4 linked regions of the Lepisosteus oculatus genome follow. The main gene of each other region encodes a partner of the protein of the gene in region 4 in a complex. Links are inferred from orthologs where the notes say so. Each region holds a gene or a part of one and is shown on either strand. Other genes may lie near its edges. The genes, in order: thap3, kansl3, kansl2 and ogt.1.

Evidence for each region.
Region 1: ogt.1 (region 4) and thap3 share a complex: the UniProt entries of both Homo sapiens proteins name them as parts of the THAP1/THAP3-HCFC1-OGT complex. The link is inferred for Lepisosteus oculatus from reciprocal best matches to the Homo sapiens genes OGT and THAP3.
Region 2: ogt.1 (region 4) and kansl3 share a complex: the UniProt entries of both Homo sapiens proteins name them as parts of the NSL complex. The link is inferred for Lepisosteus oculatus from reciprocal best matches to the Homo sapiens genes OGT and KANSL3.
Region 3: ogt.1 (region 4) and kansl2 share a complex: the UniProt entries of both Homo sapiens proteins name them as parts of the NSL complex. The link is inferred for Lepisosteus oculatus from reciprocal best matches to the Homo sapiens genes OGT and KANSL2.

What each region holds. Positions count from the first base shown.
Region 1 is NC_090720.1:9,154,370-9,161,741, reverse strand, and holds the start of thap3 (THAP domain-containing protein 3), read right to left. Parts: upstream 3,011-7,372; 5' UTR 2,658-3,010; exon of another isoform or gene 2,491-2,657; 5' UTR 2,429-2,490; coding exon 2,304-2,428; intron 1,445-2,303; coding exon 1,249-1,444; intron 1-1,248. UniProt on the Homo sapiens protein: Component of a THAP1/THAP3-HCFC1-OGT complex that is required for the regulation of the transcriptional activity of RRM1.
Region 2 is NC_090697.1:73,312,102-73,319,681, reverse strand, and holds the start of kansl3 (KAT8 regulatory NSL complex subunit 3), read right to left. Parts: upstream 3,023-7,580; 5' UTR 2,755-3,022; intron 1,388-2,754; 5' UTR 1,327-1,387; coding exon 1,115-1,326; intron 354-1,114; coding exon 183-353; intron 1-182. UniProt on the Homo sapiens protein: Non-catalytic component of the NSL histone acetyltransferase complex, a multiprotein complex that mediates histone H4 acetylation at 'Lys-5'- and 'Lys-8' (H4K5ac and H4K8ac) at transcription start sites and promotes transcription initiation.
Region 3 is NC_090696.1:14,506,873-14,514,108, forward strand, and holds the start of kansl2 (KAT8 regulatory NSL complex subunit 2), read right to left. Parts: upstream 3,001-7,236; 5' UTR 2,991-3,000; coding exon 2,951-2,990; intron 1,215-2,950; coding exon 956-1,214; intron 1-955. UniProt on the Homo sapiens protein: Non-catalytic component of the NSL histone acetyltransferase complex, a multiprotein complex that mediates histone H4 acetylation at 'Lys-5'- and 'Lys-8' (H4K5ac and H4K8ac) at transcription start sites and promotes transcription initiation.
Region 4 is NC_090703.1:46,135,374-46,142,304, forward strand, and holds the start of ogt.1 (UDP-N-acetylglucosamine--peptide N-acetylglucosaminyltransferase 110 kDa subunit), read right to left. Parts: upstream 3,018-6,931; 5' UTR 2,652-3,017; coding exon 2,615-2,651; intron 2,038-2,614; exon of another isoform or gene 1,963-2,037; intron 1,790-1,962; exon of another isoform or gene 1,702-1,789; intron 91-1,701; coding exon 1-90. UniProt on the Homo sapiens protein: Catalyzes the transfer of a single N-acetylglucosamine from UDP-GlcNAc to a serine or threonine residue in cytoplasmic and nuclear proteins resulting in their modification with a beta-linked N-acetylglucosamine (O-GlcNAc).

The sequences.
Region 1 (7,372 bases), on a different chromosome or scaffold from region 4:
AAAATAATTTCTTTAATAAAGACCAGAAACACTCTTTACATGGTCTTCACACCTTTGTCCAAGCCTGAAGGCAATTCATTATTCTCTCCCTCATCCTGGCTTGTCTGTCACAGCTATGCCTCTAATGCTGGCAGTGGGAAACATCGCCTGGGTTGTTAATTTCCCAAAACCCATTAGACTCACTTTATAGATCTTTTCATCTGAAGCTTTTAATGGGTACATTATAGTTTTAATCTTGATTTTGCTTCTTCTTTTCCAATCTGATTTTTATTCTGGGGTGTACCTATTACGTGCACTATTGTACGACGCTTTTTGAGTTTCCCCCACTCTGACCTGCCATGGGCTGAGTGGGTAACACCAGTGTATAGCGCAGGGGTAGAAACACAGACAAGTGACAAAGCTACAGATCCGCAAAACAAGTGGCAAAACCTTTCATCATGCAAACCAGACGCCTGTCCCAGTCCAGTAGATTTAACTTTCTAGTCCCTACTTTAATTCTAAAGTGCAAAACCTCTTAGCAAGGCCACAGCTCGTGCACAACACATATAAATAAGAGTGATCTGCAACAATTACCAGGAACTGGAGAGATGCAGTTCACAGAACAAATACTGCCATGCTACCAGCTAACCCAGGCTTTTAAAGATCCAGGAAGCATAGAACGAGCAGGAGATTATAGCTGACCTGTCCTTCTGCTACCCTGATAATGCGAATTCTGACAAATTTAATAGAATCCAAACAACATTAGGTATCAAAATTCATAAATCAGGGGAGCATGAATAATACAGATCTGTCACACTAGGTAAACGTTAACGCACTGAAGTACATGATGGAAGAAATGACCCGAGCTGTGTGTGTGTGCGCATGCGTGCGCCAGGCCGGAGTGAGACGCTACGCCCTGCCCGTCTGTGGCCTGGCGCAGACTGTTCAGGATTGGGGGTAACTGTGGGGGGGTCGCCCACCTGGGCGGAGCGGTGGCTCTGTGGCTCAGGATCTGCGCCTGTGACTGGAAGGTTGCCGGTTCGAATCCCGAGGCCGGCAGAGGAATCCTACTCCGTTGGGCCCCTGAGCAAGGCCCTTCACCCCAGCTGCTCCAGGGGCGCCGTATAAATGGCTGACCCTGCGCTCTGACCCCCAGCTTCTCTCCCTGTCTGTGTGTCTCATGGAGAGCAAGCTGGGGTTTGCGAAAAGACGAGTTCCTAATGCAAGAAATTGTATAGGGCTAATAAAGAAACATTATAACATTATAACCTTGGAGCCGGTGGGCGGGAAGGAGAAGAGGGTGGGCACAGCGTTCCACAGGAGGTTCTTGCGGTTGCTGAAGCTACTGAAGCAGTCGGGCGTGAAGTGCTGCGAGCAGATGACCATGTGCCTCTTGGGCTGGAAGTCGTCTCGGGCGATGTTGTCCAGCCACTCCTTCAGCACGTGGGGTTTACTGAAGGGAAACCTGCCAGGGAGGGAGCGCCAGGGTGAGGCATTGGAAATCATCCATCCATCTGTCTTCTAACCCCTTATACAAGGCAGGGTTCACCCTTGACAGGGCGCCAGTCCAACATAGGGCACACACAGGCACCAACACACAGGGTCTCACCAGGGCTATCTTCCCAGAAGCCAACTAACCCTACCAGTGTGTGGGAAAAACTGGAGCACCCCGAGGAAGCCCATGCGAACACCAGAAGGCCATGCAAACTCCACACGGACAGCAGCCGGGGGTCTGAAATTGAACCCAGGGCCCCCAGCACTGTGATGTAGCCTTGCTAACCACTACAGCACTGTGTCGCCCTCTTGTCAATATTAATAACGATGACAATCATAAATAATATGCAGTAAAATAATAACAGCCCAGACGGACACAAGGCCACGCAACCATATGTGAACCTGTTCCATTTTGTGCACTTCTTACACATAATACTTCCCTACACACCACTTCGAAAACTCCTACATCTCTCCTATATACTCAACACAAACCCATACCGTGAGATCACTGAATTAATGTATCTTTCCCAGATAAAGATATGCAATGGGTAAAAACAAAAAAAGTATCTTATTCAACACTGGACGTCCGAACAACTTCACACACAGCGCAGTAAAGAGGTTAGCCCGCGCTGAACAAACCGAGGACTTAATTTAATAATTAACAGACACTCCTGCTGTCCTGGCTCGGAGGAACTGGGAGACAGCGAGGACAGAAGCTGAGGGTGGAAAAAAATCAGCTTGAAGCAGATTCTTGATTGCTCTCGCTATCAGAAGTGTGAGTGCGGCAGTGCTGTGGATTACTGTGAATACAATCAGGAAAACAGCTGTACCTGTGGAAGGTGAGATCCGGGTTCTTGCTGCTGTACCTGTTGGTACAGTTGTAAGCAGAGCAACTCTTCGGCATGTCTTTACGCGCAGTGCTCTCTCTGCCCCAAACAAAGATGGCGGCCAGCATTCCAACTGGGGGCAGCACCCGAGCTGAGCCGTCGCCCCTCAGTCAGAGCGAAAAGCCGGAGGCTGGGAAAAAAAGAGACAGGAAATTACAACAAGTCAACCCTTCGGCGGGGTGTCCTCGGTTATGAGTGTGTTTTTGTTTCTCGCAGAAGTGTAAAACAGAAGTGCGCGGACACTCCAGTTTTCAATCCCATCTCCCAAACTGCGTTTCGGAAGGCGCGTCTGCTTACGCGGTAGGTTTCACCGTCCTCGTCGGTGAGCTGAATTTCTTAAAACATCCACATTTTTTTTTTCTCGGCCTCGTCAGCTCTTCCTCACAGCGGGTAGCGCGTCGTTGAAAGTGTGACTCCGGGAGTGGGGCATTGCTCCGCTCTCACACGAACAGATGACTAGCCTGCCAGGTCGGAAAACATCCCGAAACCAAGATGGCCGACGGGCTTCGGTGTTTTCCGCAAGGTTCCCCGAATAAGATCTCAGCCGGCAGATGGGTCTGGGTCTCACAGCGTAGCCCATAACCTCTCTGTCATTATAAGAGTGGCGGAGTTGGTGGCTGTTGAGTGGGACCACTGAACTTGTGTGTAATTCACTCTCACACTGTTGTATTCATCTGTAGTCACAGCAGGGGCAGTAATAGAAAACCAAGACACAATACAGTACGTTCTCAGCTGAGGTCTGTATATAACCGAAGATTGCACTGCGTTTCTGTTACAAGTGATAATGGGGAACCACACCTACGGTATTTTAATCATGTTCTTGTCTGATTGGGTAGAAAATGTGGTTTTCTGTCATTAAGAGCTCGGTTGAAAACCCAGGAGACCAAAGAGCTCTCCAGGATAAAGGCAAGAGATCTCTGTTCCAGCAATGTTTTGCCTCTATGCTGTGACAAAGCTCTAAGTGACAGTGATCAAAAACCGACTGGGATCTTACAAAAAGAAAGAATGAAAAATGAGGGAACCTTATTGTAAAGCAGTTTCGATTCCTAGACGGTCTTGGTATCTTCGGGTTTATGTTCCAACATAGTTGGTCAAACTGAACAATAAATGTAATTGATTAGCTGTTTCCACAATTAAGGTTTCTCGAGGTGTCTTACTGTCAAACCTTCAAAACATTTACGCCAGTAAAGATAGTACCTTTTAAAACCTGTCAAATCATGGCCGTGATATCGCAGTTCTGCGTTTCGGTGAATGATTAGACCCGCTCTGTAACAGAGTGCCCCAGTGAAACAGAGCCCAGAGGATTCTGCTGAGTCTGAGACCCGCGGGGTAAATGTTACAGAACAGTCCCGAAGAGGCATGACCAGTCAGCCTTGCTGGAAAGCTAAGGTGCCGCTGGTTTCCAGCTCTTGCCTGCCTGCTCCAATACTAGTGTTTATTACATTAGGTATCTGAACTGTACAGCTGAATCTCTTCATTCAAATACATCTCGGCATCAGCTGTTATTGGTGCAGAGTCAAGGTCTGCTTTGAGCACAGTTTCGGTGTTGAGGAAATGCACTGACAAAGGCTGCCAAGTTTCGCGATCGGAAATGCGTTCCCCGTCTTGGTCCTTACTAACCTTGTCAAGTCCTTAATCACAGGACTTCAAATCTCTCTTATTTCAATTTTCTCTTTGAGACCCTTTTAAAATGGATTTCCAGCTCTTGAAAAGCCGAGTGGCATTAGTAGCTGGTATATGGACCTTGTGCTAATCAGTACGTTTCAGGGCTGACCCCAGTCAGGTGTGCTGGCTGAAATATAACCATCTGGACTTAAGCAGTAGGGAAAAAAACTGCATCAGGAAACTCCAACAATGAGTCGGCCTGTGTCGATTTTTCAACTGATCACCTGGCCTGAACTAACGAGTCAGTCTGTTACAGACGCCAGTTAAGAGCCCAGCAGACACAGGGGTACCCCAAGACCACAAATGGGAACCACCACTCCAGCAGGTTGTCTGTGTCTCTTTAAAAAATCAGCAGCTCCAGGCAGCTGGGAAAGGATTAACTGGTCACATTAAATCTTAACGGGATCACTTTAACCCTTCAGCCAGGTGCAAGGTTGTTTTGAAGTTTGAGAAGCCTAGAAACTTGCAGGAACAGATTTGGGAACCACCCGCCTCGAGGTGCTGCCGATTTTGTTGGCACAACACAGAGAGGCACCACCCTTGTCACGGGTATTAATCTGCTACAGGAGCACAGAAGGGCAAGAGACCCCACAGTGTGCGTGGCAGAAGACCCACAGCCCTCTCTCCTTACGTGGTAATGCTGCAGGTGATCAACAATCACATAGCCCAAATCATGGAGGTGCAATGAACAACTGAGAATACCAAATTTATTTGTTTAAAAAAAGTAACATCTTTTTTTATTCCGGATTTCACAACGTTCAAAAGAAAAAGAAGTCCAAAAAGTAATACCAGAGCTTCAGATGCCGATTTAAAATAATCAATAGTTAGATCTTTATTTACAACATATTTTACAATTTACAGAGTTTCATAGAAACAGCCTTCTCCTCTGTGCCACTGTTCAGTTCCCTCGCAAAAGCCGACCGCTTACATTCCTGCGGTCTCTGACACTTTCAAATAACCAGTTCCAAATTAAATTAAATGTTTTTAAAAAAACATAAAGAGGGAACAAACTCGTTTTCCTTTGGTAAATTAGATTTCCTTTTTGTTTTTACAGTAGAATACACATATTTACACAAGCTGGCGTTGACCAGTGTCTACTGCTGCCGTTTTCACACTAGCTATGTGACCCAGGCCCAGGCCTGCTTACTGAAGACTGAAAGCACCGGCCCGGGTTGTAACTGGGTCGGCCCAGCTGGGCCAATGCCTTGATAGAGGCTAAGAGACACAAAACTCTGTTCATATTCAGCAGACGTTTTAGTTTTAGTGCAGGAACGTTCAGACAGAAACTGGATTTAGGTAACAGGGGGGAAAAAAATCGAACTCGTTTTACACAAAATATAATCAACCTTAAAACATGTTTTCTGAAAGACTTGGGGACACACACAAAAGCTCCAATTATGTGTGCACAATTTGAGAGACAACAGGATTTTTTTGTTGTTTCGTTGAGAGAGTAGTTTCCAAAGGGGAGAGTCTCTGGTTATTCTGCAAAATAAAACTTGGTATGCACACTTACAAAACTCTTCAGAACATGGTACTGGATTTATGTTAACACAGAAATCCTGCCCATGGAAAGTCCCTGTGTGGATCTGCTCAGGCAACCCAGGTGAAGTTCTCGTCTGAATGCGGCCTGTTTTGTAGCTCAATCCCAGCTGTTGTTCAGCTGCTAGATCAATGACTGAGAGGGAGGCAGAGTGGAATGAATGCAGGGGGAACTTTGTGCATCGTTTTCGTAATGGATTAACAGAAAGTATGAAATGATTAAAAAAGACAAAAAGGCAAATCTAGTCAAGTTCTCTGGATTGTTATTTTCCATTTTGGGGGAAAAAGAAAGGCTTGATAACAAGGGCTCCAATTTCAAGAATTATTTAAATAATCACTTAAAGAGACCCTTTATAAAAATACCTCAGCCTATCAACTGCACCAATGGTCAGGCTGTGGTGTAAATAAAAATGTTTTAATCCTGCAGCTCTCACTTGTGTCAGGCAAAATGGTACCTCACAGCTGTGTTGTCCAACAGGGACAACACAGAAGACATAGGCCAAAGCAGACCAAATCTGAAAAGAAACCAGGCAAGAAAAGCAAAGGCATGTCACTGTAAGCTCTTAGAAATGTCCAAGTACTGCGTGAACACCCATGTAGCACTTCCATTGTGTGGGCACTGTAAGTTGTAAAACTGGAACTTATAGCGCAAGGAAGGAGACATCACAACCACTAGTGAACAAGGGGGATAATTCGGTTCTTCTTCACGAAGTCCGGGGAACAGAAAGGAGGTCACATGAGCTCTCCCAGGAGTGGCAGGCCTGTTGTCACTGGCGGTTCAGGAAAGCAGAAAAGGTGAGGGGTTTAGACTGTGGGCTCCTCCACCACCCCCTCCCCAGAACAGGACCTCAAGAAGCCCTGGAGGGTTTCTGAGCTCAGCAGAAGAAAATCCCCAGCTCGGGCATGACGGCTCACAGACAGCCCCGTTTCCGGTCGTACAACGTCAAAGGCTAGGCTGCCCGAGTGGAGTGAGCCGACCCTTTAACAGGCTGTGGAGAACTATGGCATTTCCATCTTACTTCCCTTGATATCTTAGAAGACGGGAGAAATTCTTGTTATTTAACCCCCAGTGAAGCATTTAAATGATCATTTTTGATAAGCCTTAATTTTTCACCTACGGAGCTCCATTTCCTAAACTCAGTACCTTGTGAGCAAAGCATTGGTCCATATAGCATTAACCTTAGTGCTGGGATATGAAGCATGTGTCTGCCAGATCCCAGAGCTTTCTGCGGATTAGCACCGCTCCGATCAGTGCGATGATAAACGCGAACTTGCTTTCTCATATAAGCCAGACATGCCTCAAAAATCTGAAATTTAGAACAAAAAGTGTCATAAGGGTTTGAGTGGGTGCACAGGGGCTGCAAACACTTGAACTCCACTGCCTGCAGGCATGATCTAGGGGTAATGAAGGGCAATGAGACATGAAATAATGTTTCTGTGCAACATGCTCAGAAGTGCAAAGTCTGCAACCCCACCCCCCCAACCCCCACCCCTCTCTCTCTCCAATAACAGTAAGGTCACCCCTTTCCACACAACCTGCTACTGTCAGAGAGAGCCCCCAAGAACAGAGCACGGATCTGCTTCTCGTATTGCTTATTAATAAAAAAAAACACCTGGGGGTGTATTACAGGGATGCTCTTTTATCTTCTGTCCCTTCCAATGTCAACATAAGCCTCCTCTGCCCTAAAAAAAAAAACCATTTTGTCTGAAAAACAATAAATATTGTTTTTCATATTGTGTCCAGAAAATAACGCCACTCTTGACCACTGATGTAGAATGGGCAGGAACAGCGCAGTCCACTGAAGATG
Region 2 (7,580 bases), on a different chromosome or scaffold from region 4:
TTCCCTCCTCTTGCCAAGGGAGAACTTCCCAGCTCTTTCTTGTCGATCCCAGTACGACTTTGATTTACATTCGGCAGGTGTCGGAAACTGCGATTAGTTTAGGCCTGCACGTGAAGCAGAGCCCGGGTGCTCACTGTCCTCCACCCTTCAGCTTGCTGCACGAGGAGCTTGAAGGCTCTTACTTGTTGAGGTGCTCCTCCCAGTCGTCCGGTGGCGGAGGGGCATCAGCGTCGGTCCTGGCGAAGAGCACGTGGCGCTCGCACTCGTTCATCACACTCCGCGCCTTCTGGTTGTCATACAGGGGCATCGGCGTGGGCGTCACCGTCTCCACATCGATGGGCATGTCCGTCTCTCTGCAACCACATTCATAACGCACGTCCTGCGCTGCTCATGCTTCCTCTAATAACGCTCCCCCAACCCCTGGCGTGACTTGATGGCAATGTGGCACAAAACTCAAAGACACGCTTTGTAACACCTTGCAACCAATTGTTCCAAATTAGCTGAGCTCACCACTTTTCGTCAACTGTAGCAGCAGAAGGAGTGTAATTAAAAGTTTTTCTAGGAAATTCTGCTGATGTAAAGTTATCACTCACATCAGCTTGGTGCTGCAACTTAAACTGAAAAAACTCACATAAGCAAGTACGTATGCAGGAACACTGGCGCTGTGACATGCTAACAAGTTATTTTAATTGGGAAAATAATGTAATTTTAGAACAGTAGGGCAATGCAAATCCACCCCCGTTCTAGCAAATCACAACCAAAGAAATCACAGGAGTGTGAAAAGAGTACAGACGCACTCAAAATCAAGATCTGAATAACTTCAACTTGTGAGCATGCTGGATTGTTTCAATGCAACTAATAAAGCCTGAATCTTGCCAGTCTGCACACAACATGGGGTACATATTTCATGTCCTGTAATTGCCACACTGTGAAACACAATTAACATACAAACCAATTGCACAGGAGACAGGGCAGTCTAAAAGCTGGTCTTAAAGCTGGTCTTACAACAGTGATTATACATGTCATTTAAATGAAGGCTGTCTACTTTGTATACCGCCAGGAGAAGCTGTAATACTGCAGGGGGGGTTTCCACTGCGGTGCAGCGTCTACTCACACGGTGGTGTCCTGCTGGCGCCGAGGCGTGACAAAAAGCATGCGGGTAGGGCGGGCACTGCTGGCGTCCGGGTGGGCACTCCAGGGCTTAGCGTAGCTGTGGTCGAGGAAGACCAGGTCCAGCTCCCGCTCGTGGACAGACAGCTGGAAGAGCAAGGAGGTGCCCATCCGCCGCGCGGAGGTCTGGAAGTCCCGCTCCCCGCCGCGGTACATTGTTCTCGGGCAGCTGGCGCACGCTCTCAGCGGGAGGGGGCACTCCGGACACAAGGCTGGGCTAGGGACACGGGGCACAACACGGTCACACGCTGCCCTCGCCGGCCTCAGCTGCCCACCTGCAACCTCTACCTTGCGCAGACCTGACCTGCTCTCCAAAGAGCTACATCTCCCCGCAACTCACCACTGGTGGCAGGCCACTGAAGCTCAGCAGGTGGGAGCCTGGTCAGTACCTGGATGGGAGACTCCTGGGAAAGCTGAGGCTGCTGCTGGAAGAGGTGTTAGTGGGGCCAGCAGGGGGCGCTCACCCTGCGGTCTGTGTGGGTCCTAATGCCCCAGAATAGTGAGGGGGCCACTATTCTGTTAAAAAGGGCACCGTCCTCCGGATGAGACATAAATCTGAGGTCCCGACTCTGCAAGGATAGTAAAAAATCCCAGGGCGTTTCTTGAAGAGAGTAGGGGTGTTAACCGTGGTGTCCTGGCCAAATTTCCCCCTGGCCCTTAACAATGACGCCCTCTTAATAACGAGTGGACCAAAATAATTGATTTGAAATCTCGATGGTGAGTCCACGGTTGACCTGTTGGGACACTTCTGAGAGTTTAATCTTTACTGACCATGAATATTGCGCCAGCAACAGTTATGGTAAGAGCAAATGGGCATAATGAATCTCTGACGAAAGGAATTGATTTGATGGGAATATCCATCCCCAGATTTGCCTGGATTTATTTTACTGCACCATTAAAATGCTAACGCACGATGATGTTTTCAATCACGATTTATTTACTATTGTAAGTCAAAAATTGTAAGTCAAATTGCTGGGTCCTTGATGTCGGTACAATAGAAAAGCACATGTTCTGAAAGTGAAAATTAAATTGTGATTGGAATCTCCAATTTAAACTCGGTCATTAAGTAGACTTTTTTGGGGGTAGGGGCATTTGTAAAAGGTCGGGCAGTGCTGCATTAAATGACAAAGACTGTATATTTAATACAGTGAGGGTTAAACTTTCCTTCACACTACTGGATACAAAGGCAACAATACAATATACAACTTACATTTACAGTTTATATTTTAACACCTGAACGTTCCCTAAACTACGAAGAAGGACACTGTCAAGGCTAGTAAATCAGCCACCGGGCGTGTTGCTGTTTTTGTTGTTGTTACTGTAACAGGCAAGAAAATAGACTCGACAGGCAAATAAAAAAAGACCCCGGCTCCGAGACGTTGTTCAAGCCGAGGCAGGGTACGCTCAGGTCCTGTGCTCTTTTTAAGAAAACCCGAGGACTGCCGGCCTAGGTACTGAAAAGATTCATTTCTATAAAAGAACTGTCCAGATATCACAAAGCATGGTTATTGACGTCCTTGTGAGGGCAAAGCTGGTGAAAACAATGCGTAGGAGAGTTTATCGTTATACTATAAAAACACTTACTTTCTGGCGGCATCCCAGAAGATGAGCTCACGTCATTGTGTCAAGAAACCGTAAAAGAAGTGTAATCCCAAAACGTGACCCCAGCGTCCAGAACAGATGTGTAAACTCGTTTGTACACTGTTTAAATGCGTTTTTGAAATGTGTTTATTCGCATTCCGTTGCTTTTAATGACTGCTTTCTGTTTTTGTTAAGGGCCTTTCTTCTCCTCGTATTTCAACCGCGCCACTACACTGGAGGGCCTGCTTGAAAATACGGCACAGATTTTCTCAGGCGATCCGGAGTCAGGATGCGACCCTGCTGCCGGGAGACTTGGAATATACGAAATGGATTCCCGTGTTTTTACAAGACCCGCCTACCCTCCGTTCCTCTTGCAGGGAACGATAGCAAAGAAATGAAACTTACATTTTAATAAACACTAAGGTAGCAAGTTATTCCAAAGCTTTCGATGTAAACTTTAGAAGAAAAGTCACATTTTACAAAATACCAAGGTAAAACATGATTCTAGACATATATTCACAAACAACGCGACTTGCACGACATAGTATGTTAAATTATATTGTCATCATGGTATCTGTCTTATGTGCTGAAAACTGTATGTACTGGAATTGTGGACAGTCATATACCAGATTACTCTCTTGTGAAAAGCAATATTATTATAATGAGAAAATTAAGACAATTACCTTTATCGCATTCGAGAAAATGTAACATTTATACATTTATTTTTAATTTCTTCTAAACCTTTTACCTTTAAGGCAAGTTGTGTTGGTATACTTAGTGTATTTCTAAGCGTTCTATATTTTTCCACAGCACTTTAACAGCAAAAACTATCTTTCCACAACGGGATTCTGCTGGACGTTTGAGAATTGTCCGATCTGCGCATCACCGTCCAGCATGGCACAGGCATTTCTACTGCCTGACCACTAGAGGGCCCCACTAGGCTGGATTTATAGCCGATTTATATCCCTGCCTTAATATAAGTGGAAGTGAAAATAAAGGGATAAATCAATACCGGCGGTAGTGCAGAAATCGAACGTGAGTGTCATGCAAAACAAAAAAATAAGTAGAATAGACGTCGTTCGCCATTTTTTACTTTATGCACTGAGCATTACGGATAACCAGAAAATGCCTTCAATTCCTCAATAACTCAGTGGACAACTAAGCTGCTTACCAGCTTTAAACAAATCACATTCCCAAAATGCTGTTAAAACTCTTTCAGTCCTGCGGTTGTTTCTCTCTGGCGCCCATTTTTCCCTTAAGCGGTTTGTACAGCCCAGGACCTGCTCCCTGCTCCCTGAAGGCAGGCTTCCTCTATTGGTTTATATTGTGGCCGAACCCAGCCTGCATCTCCGGACCTGCCAGGTGAGGGAGGAAGACTGCTCTCCCCACAGGGGCACTTGGGAGATGTAGCTGAGACAAGATCCCTCTTCCCTCCTCCTGCCACCCTGCCCGACGTCCTGCTCCTCACCGGGGAAGCCGACGGAAGAGCAGGTTTTGCCAGTCCGAAGCCGTGACAGATGCAGAGACGTGGGGGCAGCAGGCAGTGCGAACTGGGTGCACCCCCCCCTGGCGTTCTCCTTCTGGCGGCTGTGTGAAATGTGGCATCATCTACCGCTCTCAAACTACCTCCCCCTCCTGAGCCAGCAGGTGTCTACACGAGTGCCCCCTTTCTTTTGGCACAGCGGCTGCCTCACACTCTTGAGGCTCCGGCCAGGGCAGCAGTGACCTCTCATGATCCTGTCCTGTAGCTCAGACATGGGCCGTAGAGACACAGACGTCTTGCCCTCATCCACCTGCTCTTCAAGCTTGGGCCTGCGAGGTGGTGATGACCACTCTCCATTCTCCTGTAGGCTCAACTATGGGATCTTTCTCCAGCACAGTGCTTGCTTAAATCTAGTTGAGGAGGCGATAGCCAGTGTTCCTCCTCATGCTCCGACCATACCGTGGCCAGAGGAGCTCCTTCCTCTGCGGGCACTCAGTGCACACTGGATCACAGCATGGTACTGTAGGGTTTGAAAATGAAGGACAGTAGGCATCAAACTGTTAGCAAGTGTTTGTGAGAAAGTATTTGTAGTACCTGTAATATTCCCTGTATCTCTGTGTACAAACTGAGCAAGGCAATAGTGTTGGCTTTTTATGTACACATTGAGGAAAAATAATCAAATTCCCATTTAAAATCAGATTAAATGAAATACATCTTATAGCTATATGCAAATATTAAATTCCACTGGTTTTCTGTAAGCATGAATTTGTATGCTTTACAGTGAGGGCTGAGGTGTTTTTTAATAACTATCAGGAGGTAGAAGGAGCTGGACAAGTTTTGGAGCAACCCAGTGAATCAGCTGCTTCAACATGGCTTGGGAACATGCTGCATCCACCCACAACTCACACTGCATGAAGTACCTCCCCTTGACTCCTCAAAACTGCCTCCTCCTTTGGCACTTTCTCAAGTTTTTTTTTAACATTTTTAAATTAGGATCACTAATTATTTTGATGATTTGTAACCCAGTCTGAAAGCGCTAGTTTATGCTCTTTAAATGTAAGCTGGGAGTGATTCTGTAAAGCACTGCATTAATGGAATAAATATCAATTCGTGAATTCAGCCAATGAATGTGAAACATTTTTCATTAACAACTACAGAGCACAAAGGAAGGAGCTGAAATCATCAGAGGTTTATCAGGTGAGAAACAAGTTTAAAGACGGGGTATGATATACTGTAGATGCAAGCAAGAACTAGGAAATTGTCATTTAAAATGAATGAAAAATTTAATCGTAAGTAATGTTAAATGTATGCCAAATAAAAAGACAGTTTAACAAAGTTTGTTTTAGCTCAGTACATGGTATCATTTATCAACAGAATTGAGACAACAATAGACAGAAACCAATTAGTGGAAAATACATCCCATGATGAAGAACCAAAAGTACACAAGTGAGAACCAAAACATTCATAGCACCCATTACAAGGCATACATTTCAATTTCATTACAGTATTGTTTTAGAAATTAATTTTCATACAATAATAAAGACGAAACAACTGACAATCCTGGTTTTCAAGTTATTGAAAGCATTCATCACCATGCTAAATTACTAGAAATAAAAAAAATATATAAAGCAAGATACAAATTTGCCAAGGGTACTCTGGGAAAGAGAGCTCGTCTAGAGAGTGTTACCATGGTTGGTTACAGGAATGATAAAGTGCAGGAGATTGAGAAAGAGATGAGCACATACAAGGTATTTTAAACTTCACTGAACAGTAAGTTGTTGCTAAAGATGCAACAACACAGACAAATTGTATTCTGGTGGGAATACACAACCTGAATTAAGATTTAAGCACAACATTGCCAGCACAATACCTCATAGAAGGTCTATAATAGTGTACAGACTTCATCTGACAAAGCCCCCCAAAGCATCAGCTATCAAAGCCCAAGCTAATGACATAGAACACTTTCTGTTCCATTGATGTTGTCTTGACTTGCAGGTATTATCATAAGCATGGCTCTTTGTAAAAGTTCTCAATTTGTTTACTGATAAAATAAAAACAAAAAATCATTGTGATCTTTTTTTTATACTGTTGCCCACCTATACACTATAAAATAAAGAGCAGAATTAGAACGCAATGCAGTTTGACATTTTAACATCTTCCACTTGACAAACCAAGGAAGTGTGAAATTGCAATATGCTGCGTGACTTTGGTAAAACACAGGTGCTTAGGCAGCATCAAAGTAAATGACAACACTGCAGTGGAGTTAAATCGGAGCCAAATGTTTCTAAACAGGGGAGAGAAAGCTTACAAAACTCGATGAGAAAATGCACCTGGGTTATTTGACTCAGTCCTGTAACACAAATAGATGAAAAAATTCTTTGAAACAATAAAAAGGCTTTAATCCTTGAAAAATATTTTCTATATTTCAGTTTGTTCTGAATCAGTGGCATCCAGTTTAAAAATAACTGAATCATAAACATGAAACATTTAGTTGAGCAAATATGACAAGCAAGGCAGAAATATCTCATACCAAGGAGGAATCTGAATACTGAGGACACATTTTTCCTCAAATGAATACGTATCACCCTGCATGGCTTTTTTCTGTCACTTGACAAGAGGCCTCCTACCAAATCATTAGTAGAAATAAGTTAAAAATACATATATATCTGTATATATCACAAAAACAAAACCCTCATTAACATTCTTCCATCTCGTAATATCGACACAGAATATTAAAAACCTCAATATTAAGGTATCCACACCAGTTTTCACCTGGCCTGCTTGGTATGTCTCAAAGGTCTGAAGAGAGATCTCTTGCATTTCAGTACTGCACAAGTCTGCTCACATACTGCAGTCCCGTAGGTTTTATAGGCATTTTTAAATGTTGGGCCACTGCAGACCTGAAAACTTGGTGATTTGTCAAAGTGGCCATCCATATTGCTCCGAAGTGCTATTTGACATATGGTCTCTGGCCTATAGCTGCACAACAGCATACACACATATACAAAGTGCAATCAAGAAATTACAAGCACTCACCCTAAATATAAAACTAAATTTTATATAATGATTAAAAATACATTTCCCTTCCAGTTCCTGCCATGGAAATCTAGTTCAGGTGACATTTTGGCTTTGCCTAATATTTTCAAAACATGGGTATTTTATCATTTTATTATTAGTGTCATATTTTCAAACCAGTTTTACTACTCAGGACAATGGACCAAAACTTCAAACAGCCATGCATCTGCAGAACGTGTACTATAAAATGTATAAAATTAGAAAGACGGTAAATGTTAAAGCCAGTTCTATTGTTTGCTTTAACTAAAAAGCTTTCTTCGCTTTACCTTTA
Region 3 (7,236 bases), on a different chromosome or scaffold from region 4:
ACTAACTTATATTACATTATGGTGTAGTTAGTAAACCAGTCTAGTTTGCAGATGATACCAAATAGGAGGACTAGCAAAGCCTGCAGAAGCTACAAAGGAAACTGCTAAAGATTCAGAAATCAAGAGCGAACACTTTGACATCAGCTGATGGAGACAAGTGAAGAATACTACAAAGGCAGCAAAATAAACTATAAATAAAAATTGGAAACCCTGAATTTGAAGAGTCTACTTGTGAAAATGGCTTGGGTGTGTCTGTTGATGCATCAATCTTCTACACAATGTGAGGAAGAAGCAAAAAGGAAAACACATTAAAAAACAGTTTTAAGCACAATTAATAGCATCCCTTTATACATTAAAGTTGTACAAATCATTTGCAAGTCCTCATTTAGAACACTGCAGGGTCAGATACATTCCAGGGCTTAAGGAAATGTCCTACACCGACAGGGATGAAGCCATTCTGTGTCTTGGCTCACCTGTTATAAAATTATTTATTAGTAAATGTGTGGATTCTATCTTCACAGCCATGTAGCATCAGGTTTTATTTTGCATACATTATGTGTTATTTATAATTATTTTTTTCTTGAAACTGCTCATATGTTTGTATCTGTTATTTCAAGTACGTTGACACCACAAATAATTCCTAGCAGCCCAGAGGATTGGTTTGTGAAAAAAGATGATTTTGATGAGCTACAGAATCCAAACCTTTAAGTCTCGAAGAGAGACGACTATGAGGGGACCTGATAGCAGGACAACCTCAAAGAAAGAGGCATCACCAAACTCTCGTTCTTCTGCACCCTCTGCGAGTCGAAGCGACACATGCGTATCCGACGATGAGGGACGCATCACACTTGCCCTTAGCTTGAGGGTGAGGGTGTGAATTGCCAAGCGCACCCCCCCGAACCCAGGAAAGGGCAGCAGGGCGTGGCTCCTATCCAGGAGACGGAGGGGGACTCACCCGTCCTTCTTTTCAGGTTTGGGGGCTGCGCTGGGGCACCGCCTGCCGTTCTTGCTGGAGACGTAGCTGCACTGCCTGTAGGGGGCGCTCTTGTCCTCCAGCACGTGCTTGAGGCAGTACTCCAGGCCCTCCAGGCGCGGCTGGGAGCACGGCCGGGGGGAGAAGGAGCAGGAATGGGACTCCTGCGCCCGGGCCTGGGGGGTCACACGCCCCCGGCTGGACGGCAGCACGTGGATGCGGATTCGGTTCATGCCCAGGCCTGGGGGAGAGAACACAGGGATAAATACAGCTGGAGCTCACAGCCCCTGCTCAGCACCTCCCAATAACCCCATCTATGAACTGGCTTCATTACTCTGCTCTCCTCCCCACTGAGAGCTGGTGTGTGGGGAGAGTACTGGTGCCCTCTGGCTGCTGTCACATCATCCAGGAGGGGCTGCACATTGGTGGTGGGAGTGGGATTCCCCATTACCTGCAAAGCGCTTTGAGTGCAGTGTCCAGAAAAAAAAATAAGCGTAAGGAATTACAAACTCATGGCTACCAGCAAGCTCTGAGCACAGTGGTCAGTGTCCTACAGTCACAAAACTAATTACTCAACACTCCCAGCCAGTGCCTGAACACAGTAATCAGCATCACACAGTTACAGAGCTGCAATTATGAACCGGCTTCATCTGTCTTTTCTCCTCCAAACTGATAACTGGTGTGTGGCGAGTGTACTGGCGCACTCTGGCTGACGTTGCATCATCCAGGTGGGTGAGGGGAGTCTCCACGACCTGTAACGATCTTTGACTGGAGTGTCTAGGAAAGCACTGTATAAGTGTGAAGAGTTATTACCATATAGCCACTCCAATCTGCTTTTTGGCAAATATCTGTGCAAACCATGTCCTCCTGGATGAGTGCTAGAGCAGGACTGAGTCACACAGGGGGGCAGGGGGGGGATGACTTGCAAACTTCAACACTCAGCCTTCCAGAGCTTCTCTACACCAATTTTAAATTCTTCAAAACTTTTTTTCCCCCCATTTTCAACAGGGTCCTATCCAAGACCGTCTTCTTCAGTACTGATACTGCTGCAGACAAGTCGCTTCACGTGTACATGACCTCCTATGGCAACCCCCCCGCCCTCGTGCTTCGTTAAGAACATGTTCAATATCAGAGTGTGGGGGGGCAGCTGGTCAGGGCCACTGAACACACCAGGTGCCTTTCAAGACAAGGCGATCTCTCGACTGCAACTGATACCGGCCGAGAAAGAGAGAGAATAAGTCTCTAAAAGATGGATACGAGTATTTAATGAATGGCTGCCAAAGAACACGTGCATTTCTCCCTAACTGATAAAAAAATACAATGTTTTCCTAGCTACCTTTAAAACACGTCGACAACACTACAGCATCTGATTGCGTATGCCGAAATCGTCATCTATGCACCAGAAGTTAAAAGCTGTTGTATCGTGGGCGCAAGTCGTGCCCCATCCCTTCGACTGACCAGGCGTGCTCGCCCGTTTCAGAGAAGCGCGCACGGAGGAAGCCAGGCGCGACAATTTAAGAAACCTACTGAGTGGAGGGGGGATCTTTGCACCCGCTGAGAGACTTCTGTGATATCTTACGCCTTGATCTTTGTTTGCGATCTTTTCAAAATGCACCGACATGTTATAAAAACATTTACAGCGCCTAGACACGTTTCAGCCGCAGCTCTTCTTAATAACGCATGGGTCTAAAGGCACAAAGCAAAGCCACTTGTACCATACAACTAGCTCGAAGCAAAGCAAACTCTGATTTCACTAAGGAGCCTGCACACCCGCCTGAAAGGCGCCTCTTGTTTTGAACGCGAACATTATTTCCCCTTGTCTCGTTCCAATCCGCGAGTCAGCCATCTTAACACATCTACGAAACATCTCCCCTCCCAACCCCCGCTACACTTCTCTTTCTTTTCTGTTAGTAAAGATAATCCCACCCGCTTCATAATCAACACAGTCACCCAGAACAACAACAAAAAAAAAATTACTAGTATGGCTCATCGTCGCAACACCACGTTTACCAGACATCTTACCTCGACCTCGCCCGCCACTCGAAGAGCTTTAACCGCTCCGGTCGGCTCCCTCTGTCGGTCGGCCGGCTGCCACCCCCCCCACCGAGCCAGGATTGGCCAGACACAAGTACCTTGGAAACACGTCATTGGTTTGTCAACATGCCAATCGACATACAGCTCGGCCGGGGATTGGTCAAAATTAACGCTTATCAATTTGGGTCAGCCTACCGAAGAGCTCGGATTCTGGCGAAGGCAGTGCTTGTACAGACTGCAGCGTTGTAATGATTTAAGAATACATCCTCTGATGCACCTGGACACATCATCAGTATTCCTACCAGGGGTCTTTCAACATCAGACACCCTCGCCCAGGCGACCCAGCCAAGGTTGTTCAAGCCCTGGCTTGCGTCCAGGTGGCTTTGTTACCCACGGGTCACTCCTCTAATTATTATTATGATGAATCATTTTTTGCACTTATAATAATAATAATAATAATAATTGCTTACACTTATATAGCGCTTTTCTGGACACTCCACTCAAAGAGCTTTGCAGGTAATGGGGACTCCCCTCCACCACCAGCAGTGTGCAGCCCCCACCTGGATGATGTGACAGCAGTCAGAGTGAACCAGTATTTTCTCCACACACCAGCTATCAGTGGGGAGGAGAGCAGAGTGATGACCCCAGATCAGAGATGGGGATTATTATTAAAGAACAGAACCCGATTCTAAAGTAGAATGTTTGGAGTCTGGATTTGAAAGAGTTTAGGGAAGGTGACTCTCTGATATCCTTGGGGATGGAATTCCAGAGCTCTGGGGTGCAGCAGGAGACGGCCCTGTCACCCCTAGATTGTAGACTGGTTTGGGGGACAGATAGAAGGCAAGAATGACAAGAGCGAAGGTTGTGAGGTGGGGAGTAGGACGACAGTAGCTCAGACAGGTATTGAGGTGCCAAACCATGCAGAGCTTTAAAGGTGAGCATAGGGATTCTGAATTCGACACGAAACCTGACAGGAAGCCAGTGCAAAGACTCCAGGATAGGAGTAATGTGATCACTTGCAGTAAACCTGGTCAGGATTTACTGGAGTTTGTTCAATGTGGATTTAGAAACCCCAGCGAGTAGAGCATTACAGTAGTCGATCAGGGAGAAGACAAATGTGTTGATCAGCTTTAAGACATAGTCTAGCGATATTTCTGAGGTGAAAGAAAGATGTTTTGACAATATGCTGCACATGTGGGTCGAATGTCAAACCTGAATCAAATATCACCCCAAAGTTTTTCAATTTAGACTGAATCTCAAGTACTGTATGACCCACAGATAGGGTTACAGCATTGGCTTTACAAAGTTGATGGGGGGTGCCAATGAGCATGACTTCAGTCTTTGTCACAGATTAAAAAAAGAAAATTTTGAACCATCCATGTTTTTAGGTCAGAGATGCAATTAGAGAGAACAGAAACAGCCACATCAGTGTGAGGTTTGGTATGGACGTAGATCTGAGTATCGTCAGCATAGAAATGATAGTTGAGGCAATGATCTTAAAAACTGACCAAGCAGAAATATGTAAATGCTGAAAAGTAAGGGGCCCAGTATTGAGCCCTGAGGAACACCAGACTAAACGAGTCCAATTTCAGACCTAAATCTGCCAAGAGAGACAAAGTGACAGCGATCAGTGAGGTAAGACTTGAAGCATTTAAGAGCAGTGTCAGAAACTCCAAACACAGGTCAAGACGAGAAAGTAAGATGTCATGGTCAACAGTGTTGAAAGCAGCAGTGAGGTCAAGAAGAATAAGGATAGAAAGAGAGCCAGAATCAGAAGCCATTAGAAGATCGTTAGTGACTTTGACCAGGGCAGCTTCTGTGTGTGAAGTTGTCGGAAGCCAGATAGGAGGGGTCTGAAAAGGTTATTAACAATGAGGTGGTTATGTAATTGAAAATGTGACAGCACAGTCTAGAATTTGTGCAAGAAAGGGAAAATTGGAGATGGGGCGAAAATTGTTTAGATTTAGATTTTGTGGCACAGGGGTGATAGCAGCAGTTTTGAGAACCACTGGTACAACACCAGTGCCCAAGGATTCATGTATTATATTGAGGACAACGGGGCAGAGAGAAGTGAAAACAGCACTGAAATGAAGTGGTGGGGACGGGATCTACAGTAATGTATGGGTGGTGGGTTTCATCTGTTTCGAAGGCCTTTTTTCAACTATTTCCAACCGCCTCTCTGGCGGTTTGGATGGCTTTCCTCTTGCTCACCCCTGTTACGTCCAAAAGACACAGAGGGACTGGCCTGCAAGTCCTCTGCAGCCCCCCCCCGACGGGCTCACCCCCTCCCACAGCGCAGACCTACCAGGTCTTCATGTCTGACTCCCTCCTTCCGCCAGCCTCCAGCGGGGACCTGTCCGCTCTGGCACGGCCGGCTGCCGAGATGCTTCACACAGCAATACAACGTCCAGCCCGAGTGCGGTCAGGGGCCCACCTGTCTTGCCGTTGCCAAGGAGACCCGCCGATACTTTGCACAGCGGACGCGGCTGCTGACCGGCTCTGACGGATTCGGTGGCCTGGTGATGTTTGCTGTCGTTGATATCCCCGCTAATAGCGTCCGCCAAGGGCTTCAGCCCCCGGTCGCGCTGCCACCGATAGCAGCCTTCTCCAAGGGCTTTCGGGCAACAGTCGAGGGCGTGCTCCAGTGGCCCTCACCCCTGGCACAAAGGGCATGCCGGCAAGCCGCCTCTGCCCCAACAGGAGAGACACCAGGAAGCAGTAAAGGTTTATTCCGTGCTGAAAAGTGACACCCAGAGAAGGCTCCACAGCTGAAACGTTGTGTTTCTTTTCGTCTCTTTTCTCCTCTTCTAACTAGCAAGACCTTATGTTAAATATGCAACTTTATGGGAAAGCAGAGGCTGATGTGTAGGAGTGATATGCTGCCAAGACTTGGTGCGAGTTAGAAGTCTAGTTGTCAAGTTTTGGCCATAATGCTAGTTGTTTAGAAGAGAGTGAGGAAAACCACAGAGTAAGGAGTGGCGGGGATCAAGCCTCTGTGTTTTAAATGAATCATGCAGTCAGCGTCGGACGTTTGTAAAAGAATCGTGAAAGAATGCATTATTTGCAGACTTGAAATTGTAAAAGAAAATAGGGGCCAGTAGGGGGCGCTCACCCTGCGGTCTGTGTGGATTCCAGTGCCCCAGTTTAGTGACGGGACGCTGTGCTGTAAAAAAGCCCTCTCCTTCAGCTGACGCATGAAACAGCGCTTCTGACTTCTTTAAAACGCCTAATTGTTTCTCGAAAAGAATAGAGGTAGGTATTCAAACCAAACTCCCCACTAATCTTGACAATCAACATATAGGAACAGGCTAGTTTTTGTTCTTTATATCGCCAATACACATGATTATTGGACTAATGATAATACTGTGGCTTTAAACTTGCGTAAAATAAGAAATAGCATTTTATACTAACTCACGCTCTGGAAGACATCATGCCTGGTCCCGGTACCAAAGAAAGGGCGCCCCTCTGTCCTCAACGACTACAGACCAGTTGCACTGACTTCTCACATCATGAAGACACTGGAGAGGCTGGTTTTATCCCACTGGAGACCCCTGGTCAGCTCATCACTGGACACCCTACAGTTTGCCTACCAGCCCAATGTTGGTGTGGAGGAAGCGATCATCTACATGCTGCAAAGGGCCTACTCACACCTGGACAGGGCTGGCAACACTGTAAGAATCATGTTTTTCGACTTCTCCAGTGCCTTCAATACCATCCAGCCCTTACTTCTAAGGAGGAAGCTGGAGGAGATGCAAGCCTCCTCGACCTCGTGGATCACTGACTACCTGACAGGCAGACCACAGTCTGTGAGACTTCAGAACTGTGTGTCTGAACAGGTAGTGAGTAACACAGGGGCACCTCAAGGGACAGTTCTTTCTCCATTCCTCTTCACCCTCTATACTTTGGACTTTAAGTGCAACTCAAAGTCATGCCACCTGCAGAAGTTCTCAGATGACTCTGCAATTGTGGGATGTATCAAGGGTGAGCAGGAGGAGGAGTACAGAGGACTGGTCAGCAGCTTTGTGGAGTGGTGTGGGGTGAACTACTTGGAACTGAATGTAACAAAGACAAAGGAACTGGTGGTTGATTTCAGGAGGAAAAAGGTCAAACCTACTCTTGTCTACATCCATGGGAGTGGCGTGGAGATGGTGGACTCGTACAAGGACCTGGGAGTGCACATCGACGATAGACTGGAATGGTCTAAGAACATCGAGGCCATCTATAAGAAG
Region 4 (6,931 bases):
GGCGCTCGGCCGCCTCAAAGTCACCGGACTGGTACTCCCGGTGCGCCAGCTCTGCCAACCCTTGGAAGGAAAGCATACGTTTTGTCGGTTCTGGAGCAGAGTCACCAACACAACCCGGGGGGGGGAGGAGGGGAAAACAACACGTTAGAACAAATGGAGAAAAAAAAAATCAAACATGAAAACAAAGAATCTAAATAAAAAAGCAAAAGGTTAAATGTAGAACATTCAGTAAAACAGGGTGTTAAAACTTAAAATGAGGATGAAATGTTCTGAAACATAGAACAGCAGTGATCTGGACAACTTTAATGTTATCCAATGTCTTACCTGCACAGCTATATCATGCTCAAACACATTTTGCCCAGTTGGAACAATCCATGAAACTACCCAACTTTTTTTTTTTTTTTTTACATCAAGGCCGTTTTATGGCACAATTTTATGTTGTTGCCTTTAGAAAGTACTAATGGAGCTGAAACTCAAATTTGGTTTCCATTAAACCTCATTCTTCTTCACAAATTGTACACAGCACTTCAATCAGAAGTAAATTTTAATATGAGAAGCAAAACACAGTCCCCAGAAAATGTTTAACGGTTGCCAATTTCACAGGTTTTGTCAAATTACCTGAAATGCTGTTAGCACTATACCACCTTGTCATCTTACACCCTGGATCAACTTTAATACATTACATCAGAGATTTGCACATATTAACAAAATAAGGTTGAGGATAAAATGACCCAAAAATGAGAATGGAAATATATTATGTATACCGATAATGAAATGATGACAATACAGTGAACAAATGATATTGACAACAGAGGGTAAGCACACAGAAGAAGCCCTTTGCTACTGTGGTATATGGAGTTTACACAGATGGTGAGTGATTCCTTGTTTGCTCTATTCAGTACAAGCCAGATGGACTGCAGTCCACACCTTTGCAGAACCTAAACAGCTCAGGAATACATGGTTATACTCAGTCATACAGAGTGCATACTTTGTAATTAACTACAACAGCTGCTGCACTGAACTCAACACGGGTAATTAAGTAATTAATTCATTATCTGGGACAATAGATGCACACCAACAGGTACCAGAGGGATATGAACATGAACAGGTCATTTAAGTAAATTCTGAAAACTGAATGAGAAACCACCTAACTTGTGCGGTCTACATGAATATAAAAGAATTCTTCATCTTTCCAACATAGTAGTGTGATTTAATGTACTCGTTAGCTATTAAATATTACTTCAGTAGCTGTACAAAAGACGTACACCTCCACTAATGTTACACAGTACAGGACCCCCAGAATCACACTGCTGCTGGTTTCCAACTCAGCGCATAACTTAAACGAATCCTTAAACCTCACAATTTAAATCTGCTCAAAGGTAGGAGATCGTGGGTTACCTGCACAAGAAGGCAACTTCCACCATGATTATGAAGTAAAAACAATTCAAGAGTTCAAATTAATCATATTATGCTGCAGAGCTCAGTGCATAGCGCCTATTCTGAGCGTGATGTGACCTAAACCTGTAAAAAACGAAATCTGGCTGTTTTGTTCCACCTCTTAATTACCTAAATCAACTATTTAGACCCAATTAAGTGCTGGAGATTTAAAGAGATCTAGAGAAAATGAGCCACACCAGCACTTCAGGGACGATCCGATCTGGACGAATTAACGTGCGTATAATACCCGAGACAAAGGACGATTGGGAGGGACGTCTCGCTACTTTAAGCGCCTTTCAGTAAAAAGAAAACAAGACGCTCGAAACACACGCTTCTGCGCTATGCAAGCTCGGTGAGTTACTAGACGGTCCCTGGTTTGTCTAAACCCGCCAAAACGTTATGTTAAGCGAACTCGTGGGTGAAAAGGGCCGGCTCAACTGGGCTGCCGGACGCGAGGTGCACGGTGCCCACAAGCAGATTAACGACAAACTGGCCCTGGCGTGTCTCCACGCTTCTTCGTATCGTGTGGTTCTGCAACAGCGCAGAGGCCGCAGTCCAGCGAGCTGTCCGGCAGAGATGACGTCAGCGCTCCGTTTGCAGGTACTCGCACACACAAGCGAGGTTTAGCCAGCTAGTTAAACAAGCAGGCCTCTCCGGGTTTGTTTTTTTTACAGATTGTTCTGGCCATACTGTTTAGTAAGGTTAAAAGCCGCTGTACTGCAATGCCTTTTAGAAATACAAATACCACAGTTTCAAGTGGACTTTATCATAACTGCATTCATTTTCCCCCCCTAAACTCTGCTTCGACCTATGTCAGAGGGCTGTGCGAGTCGGAATCATTTTCACTGTTTTGTGCATCTCGCAATGAAGAAATGTCCAATTACACAATGCAGCCCCTGTTCTGGTTTCATGAACATCCATTCTCGTATCAATACCCCCCCGGTTTCGGGAGTGGTATATTACTAGTTTGTAAATTTAATCCCCATACAAGTCGAATTTAAAAGGGATTCGAACACAAAGCAACCGCTTCATGTCCAAAAAATTATTCCATCTCGTCTTTTACCTACTCTCCAGTCGTATGAGGCTAGTTTAGGAGAAGACCAAACTAAACTTTGCTGTTCATTCAATCTCAAGTTAATATTTAATTGAGCAAGCAAACGACAGAAGCCGTATTTACCTGTGCTGTCAGCCACGTTTCCAACTGAAGTCGCCATCTTCACAAGTCTTTTGAAATCGGAACAAAAATCGCTGTTAAAAATGCTTTGGATTTTAGTTTCTTCTCAAAAAAAAAAAAATTTAAAATTGACGACCCGTGCCGCGAATTCGCCGTGCGTATCGATCAGTAATGCCGGTGAGCTCGTCAACTACAAACCTAAAATAACACACGTTGACTCAGTCAAATGTTTGATATCTCTTCCCGATTTAAAAAAAATAAATATCGAGCGTTCGATTTTTTTAAATCTGACTGATCGCAATTTTTAAAAGGTGCTCTTTTATATTTGTAAACTTCTTTGCATAGACCAACAACCGCGTCGACAACAAAGCGGCTGTTCTAAATCCCGAAATGGCGGCTGCGACCGGGACTACTTCAACTGGTACAAATAGACCCCCTACGGAGGACCCACAGAAAAACGAAACAGCGGGACAACGGGAGGCAGCGTCGAGCCTTAAATGTCTAACGCTACGTAATAACAGATGTTTGTGGGAGGGGAACGAGAAGTTTCTCTCGGTTTGAAGCGGATGGAAAAATTCCCCCTTCGCGGATGTGTCAATACCAGAGACCGCTGTGTCTAGGAACTAGGCAGGGCTGTGTACCGATGCGCGGCAGCAATGCGGCAATGGGTGGGCCAGCCGGCACGTGGGGAGCCACAAAGCCGTATCTCGTACTGAACAGGATATGCTAATTGGGTTTTATGGAACTGTTCTTAGTCTAAATAAATATACATACTGGGCGGAGATCGCAAATGATGTCTTCTTCCAGAAAATCACGCAAAAAATTTTCAAGTATTTTTTTTGGCACCAATGTCAATTCATAATAAAAAGGCCCAGGGAAACGCTTTCGAGATGTCGAAAAATATGCCAGTGTATGTCTATTTTTTTCGACTGAATCCTGTATTTAGTTCTGTACATAAACTTCACAAATACAGCGAGGACCAACCAAAGGGTCTTTTAGCGTTCGTAGCAAATAATTCCTCACAGCCGAAACGTTGTTTTCTTTCTTCTCTTTTCAGCATGGAGTAAACCTTTACCTGTTCCTTTGCAGAACTGGTGACATACTGGGATATGGGAATTCCAACAGAATCGTGTCCTAATGTACACCCAGCAACAACTATCTCGTTTGTGTCTTGTTAGGACAAGTAGTGTTCGAGTTCATCTTCGGACGATTTCATTTTTAACACGTTCACAGCCCGCCGCACCGGGACAGAGCCGCAGTAGACGCTGTTGTGGTGTTCCAGACAAGCCCGTCTAGTGAAATCTACCGTTTAAATGTTAAGGCTTTGATTCTCAATGCATTATTGATCAAATAAGTGTCTTTATTTAATGAGGATGGTCTTCTCTTGCTCCGGGGCTTAAAATCACAAAACCAGCTTCCAGGTTCCTCTTTCAATCTGCACTTGCGTCTCTGAGCCGCAAAGCGTGCCTATGGCGCGCCCCCTGGCGGGTGAGACTGTCTACACACCCTACTCGTGATGTGTTGGATACCTTTTATTTTTATTGCCGACTTCATTTCAAAGCTTAACAGCAGTTACAATTTGGGAAAAGGCGATGTGCCGGAAAATGTAAGTATCTACGCCAACACAGAAGTTCTACCTCCCAACATCCTAATGGTTAATGATCTACACACGGTCAGGTCATGTCTGCCCAATCCTGTTCCCGGAGGACCAGTGTCCAGTTCTGTTTCATTAAAACTCTGCTTTTAACAACGTAAAACAGCTCGTCAACTGGACACATTTAGCTTCTCAAGTGTTGCCGTTCTAAAGACACTCAGAAAACTGATATATAGCTGATGTGTGGGGAGCGTTCTGGCGCACTATGGCTGCCGTCGCATCATCCAGGTGGATGCTGCACATTGGTGGTGGTGGAGGGGAGTCCCCATTACCTGTAAAGCGCTTTGAGTGGAGTGTCCAGAAAAGCGCTATATAAGTGTAAGCTATTATTATTATTAAAACCTGAGACCACGACGGTCTTCCAGGTTAGGTCATCGGATGTGGGAATTGTAATCTGAACAGTATCCGTCTGCAGCTCTAATCGGTAGTGTCGCGTGTTCGCCACACGAGGTCACTAGTCGAATTGGTGAAAAACCTTCACATTATGACAGTTTAATCTTTTTTTTTTTTGTTGTTGTTGCTCCATTTCATATCAAAATGTTTACAACCAAGAGAGGGCTTCTCAGGCTGTCTTGCCTGTTCTGTTTGGATTCATGCATTTCATTACTCTCGACCCTCCTTTTTTTTTTTATAGGAGTCCTCAGGATCACTCTTCTTTGAGTAAAGATGTCTCCTCATAAACACGGGGCCGAGAAGTCTGAGAGTTAGGGCATCCCCCTCCCCCCCACACCGTCTCGGTGTTTATTTTTCCCAGAAAAGAGTTGGGGTCCCTAGCTCCAGCAGGAGAGAGAACACACTCCCTCTCCCACCTCCCCGTTCTCCTTCATTAGCCTCTCTTTCTGTGTCTTCTTCCTCTGTCCCTGCTCCCTCACCTCTCTCGTCATCCTCCTCCGGTGCAGCTCCTGTTCCCCTGCTGTTCTGCGTTCGGACTGAACCCCCCCCCCCCCCCCCCCGGTCTCAGCGTGATGAGCTTGCCCCCGCATTCCTTCCTCTCCCGCTGGGAGACGGGCCGTTGCCCCCGGCGACCGTGAATGGCGGCCCAGGCGAGAGGAGAGTCGCCACGGTCACCATTAACCCCCAGCCACCCGGATGCCCCCCCGGTCAGCTGAGCACAGTGTATTTTAATTTGGGGAGAGGTTAGGCCTGCTGTGGTACCCTGAAATGCCCTGTCCTCTCTCCATGCCCTCTGTCCCCCCCCTCATCCTCCCTAAATATTCCCAGTCCCTCTACCCCACAGACCTTGTCCTTGCTGGCCCAATTCGGAATAGAGTGGAACCAAGAGACAGCATCAGCAATCCCATTGCATGGCTGTTGGAGCCGTTCCGGGTTTTACTAGCGACCACAGCAGGTAAGCGCGAGCTCAGCAGGTAAGGGGGGGCCGGGGATCTCGGCGTGCCGTCAGGCTTGGTCTCTGCGATGACGTCGCCCGTCTCCCGGCTGCTGAAGCCCCTGCTGGCCTTTCCCCGTGAGCAACCGCAGGGCAGGCCTGCGAGGGGGAGGGCAGCCCCCGGCTTTGTGTTGTGTCTGCGGGTTGTTCCCAGCTCCCGCACGCAGGGGCTGGGGCGCGGGAGGCGAGAAGAGCCCCACGGATTGGGAGAAGGAGAGGAGGGCCAGCCTGGCCTTCGGCCTCTGTGAATGTCTGTCAACACCGCCGCTTTCAGAGGGCGCTGGCTCCCCGGAGAGCCCCTCTGCACTTCAGCAGCCTGGCCCGGTCCGGACCGGACAGACCGGAGCCGCAGGGTCTTTCTGCCACAGGTTTACACGTTCCAGTTAAGCCACAATGACTCCTCTTCAAAAGTTCGAGCTCATTGTCGTTATCCTCCTCCACGGGTATATGGTAGGACGAAACGCTATTTAGCGGGCTCTCGGACGGTGAGTGGTGCAAACCACAAGACAAAGGTGCAAGAAAAGAGACCGAGGCAACGGGCAACGTTGACGTCCGATTTTGCACAACTGTTGCCGACAGAATGAAATAAAGGATACACAATTCTGGGGAGTAAACGTCTTGACACGTGAGGTAGAGGTAGATTTCGTTGTGCGTTTGAGTTTTGATCTAGAGAGAAGGCCCTGTAAGGGTTCAGATGTTAGGCGAGAGGCTGGGAGTTTGACAGTGTGGGGGTAAAAACTGTCTCCGAGTCTGGTGGTCGGGGCCTGCATGCTCCGGTACAATTTTCCAGGTAGGCAACAGCAGGACTGACTATATATAGATCCGGAGATACTTGTTTTTACTTGCAGGTATAGTTTTACTTCCCAGGGTTTTGTCAAATTTAACACCATTTTTCAGAGTTTTGAGGGGTGGTTCCTGAGCTCAGGGTCACCTATGGTGGTCTCTCTCTCTCTCTCTCCACCCCCCTGGGGCTTTTTTGGGGCACAGTGGACTGAACGAGCCCCCCTCTTTTCCCCGCAGTACAATGCCACAGGCTCTGGGCTCAGCTGGGCAGTAGTCCAGGCGAGAGTCTACTGGTGTTGTTTTGTGGGACATGCCCTGGTTTCTCTCTCTCTCTCTCTCTCTGGGGGTCAGAGGTCACCTGGCCAGTTTATCCACAAGGAATATTCCTACCCTTCTGTTAATACAATCCACTGTATCTTACTACAGCCTGTTTTTCATGGTCCCGTACAGTGCATCTGCGTGCGCTGTACGTCTGTGTTGTAGATGGACCACAAAT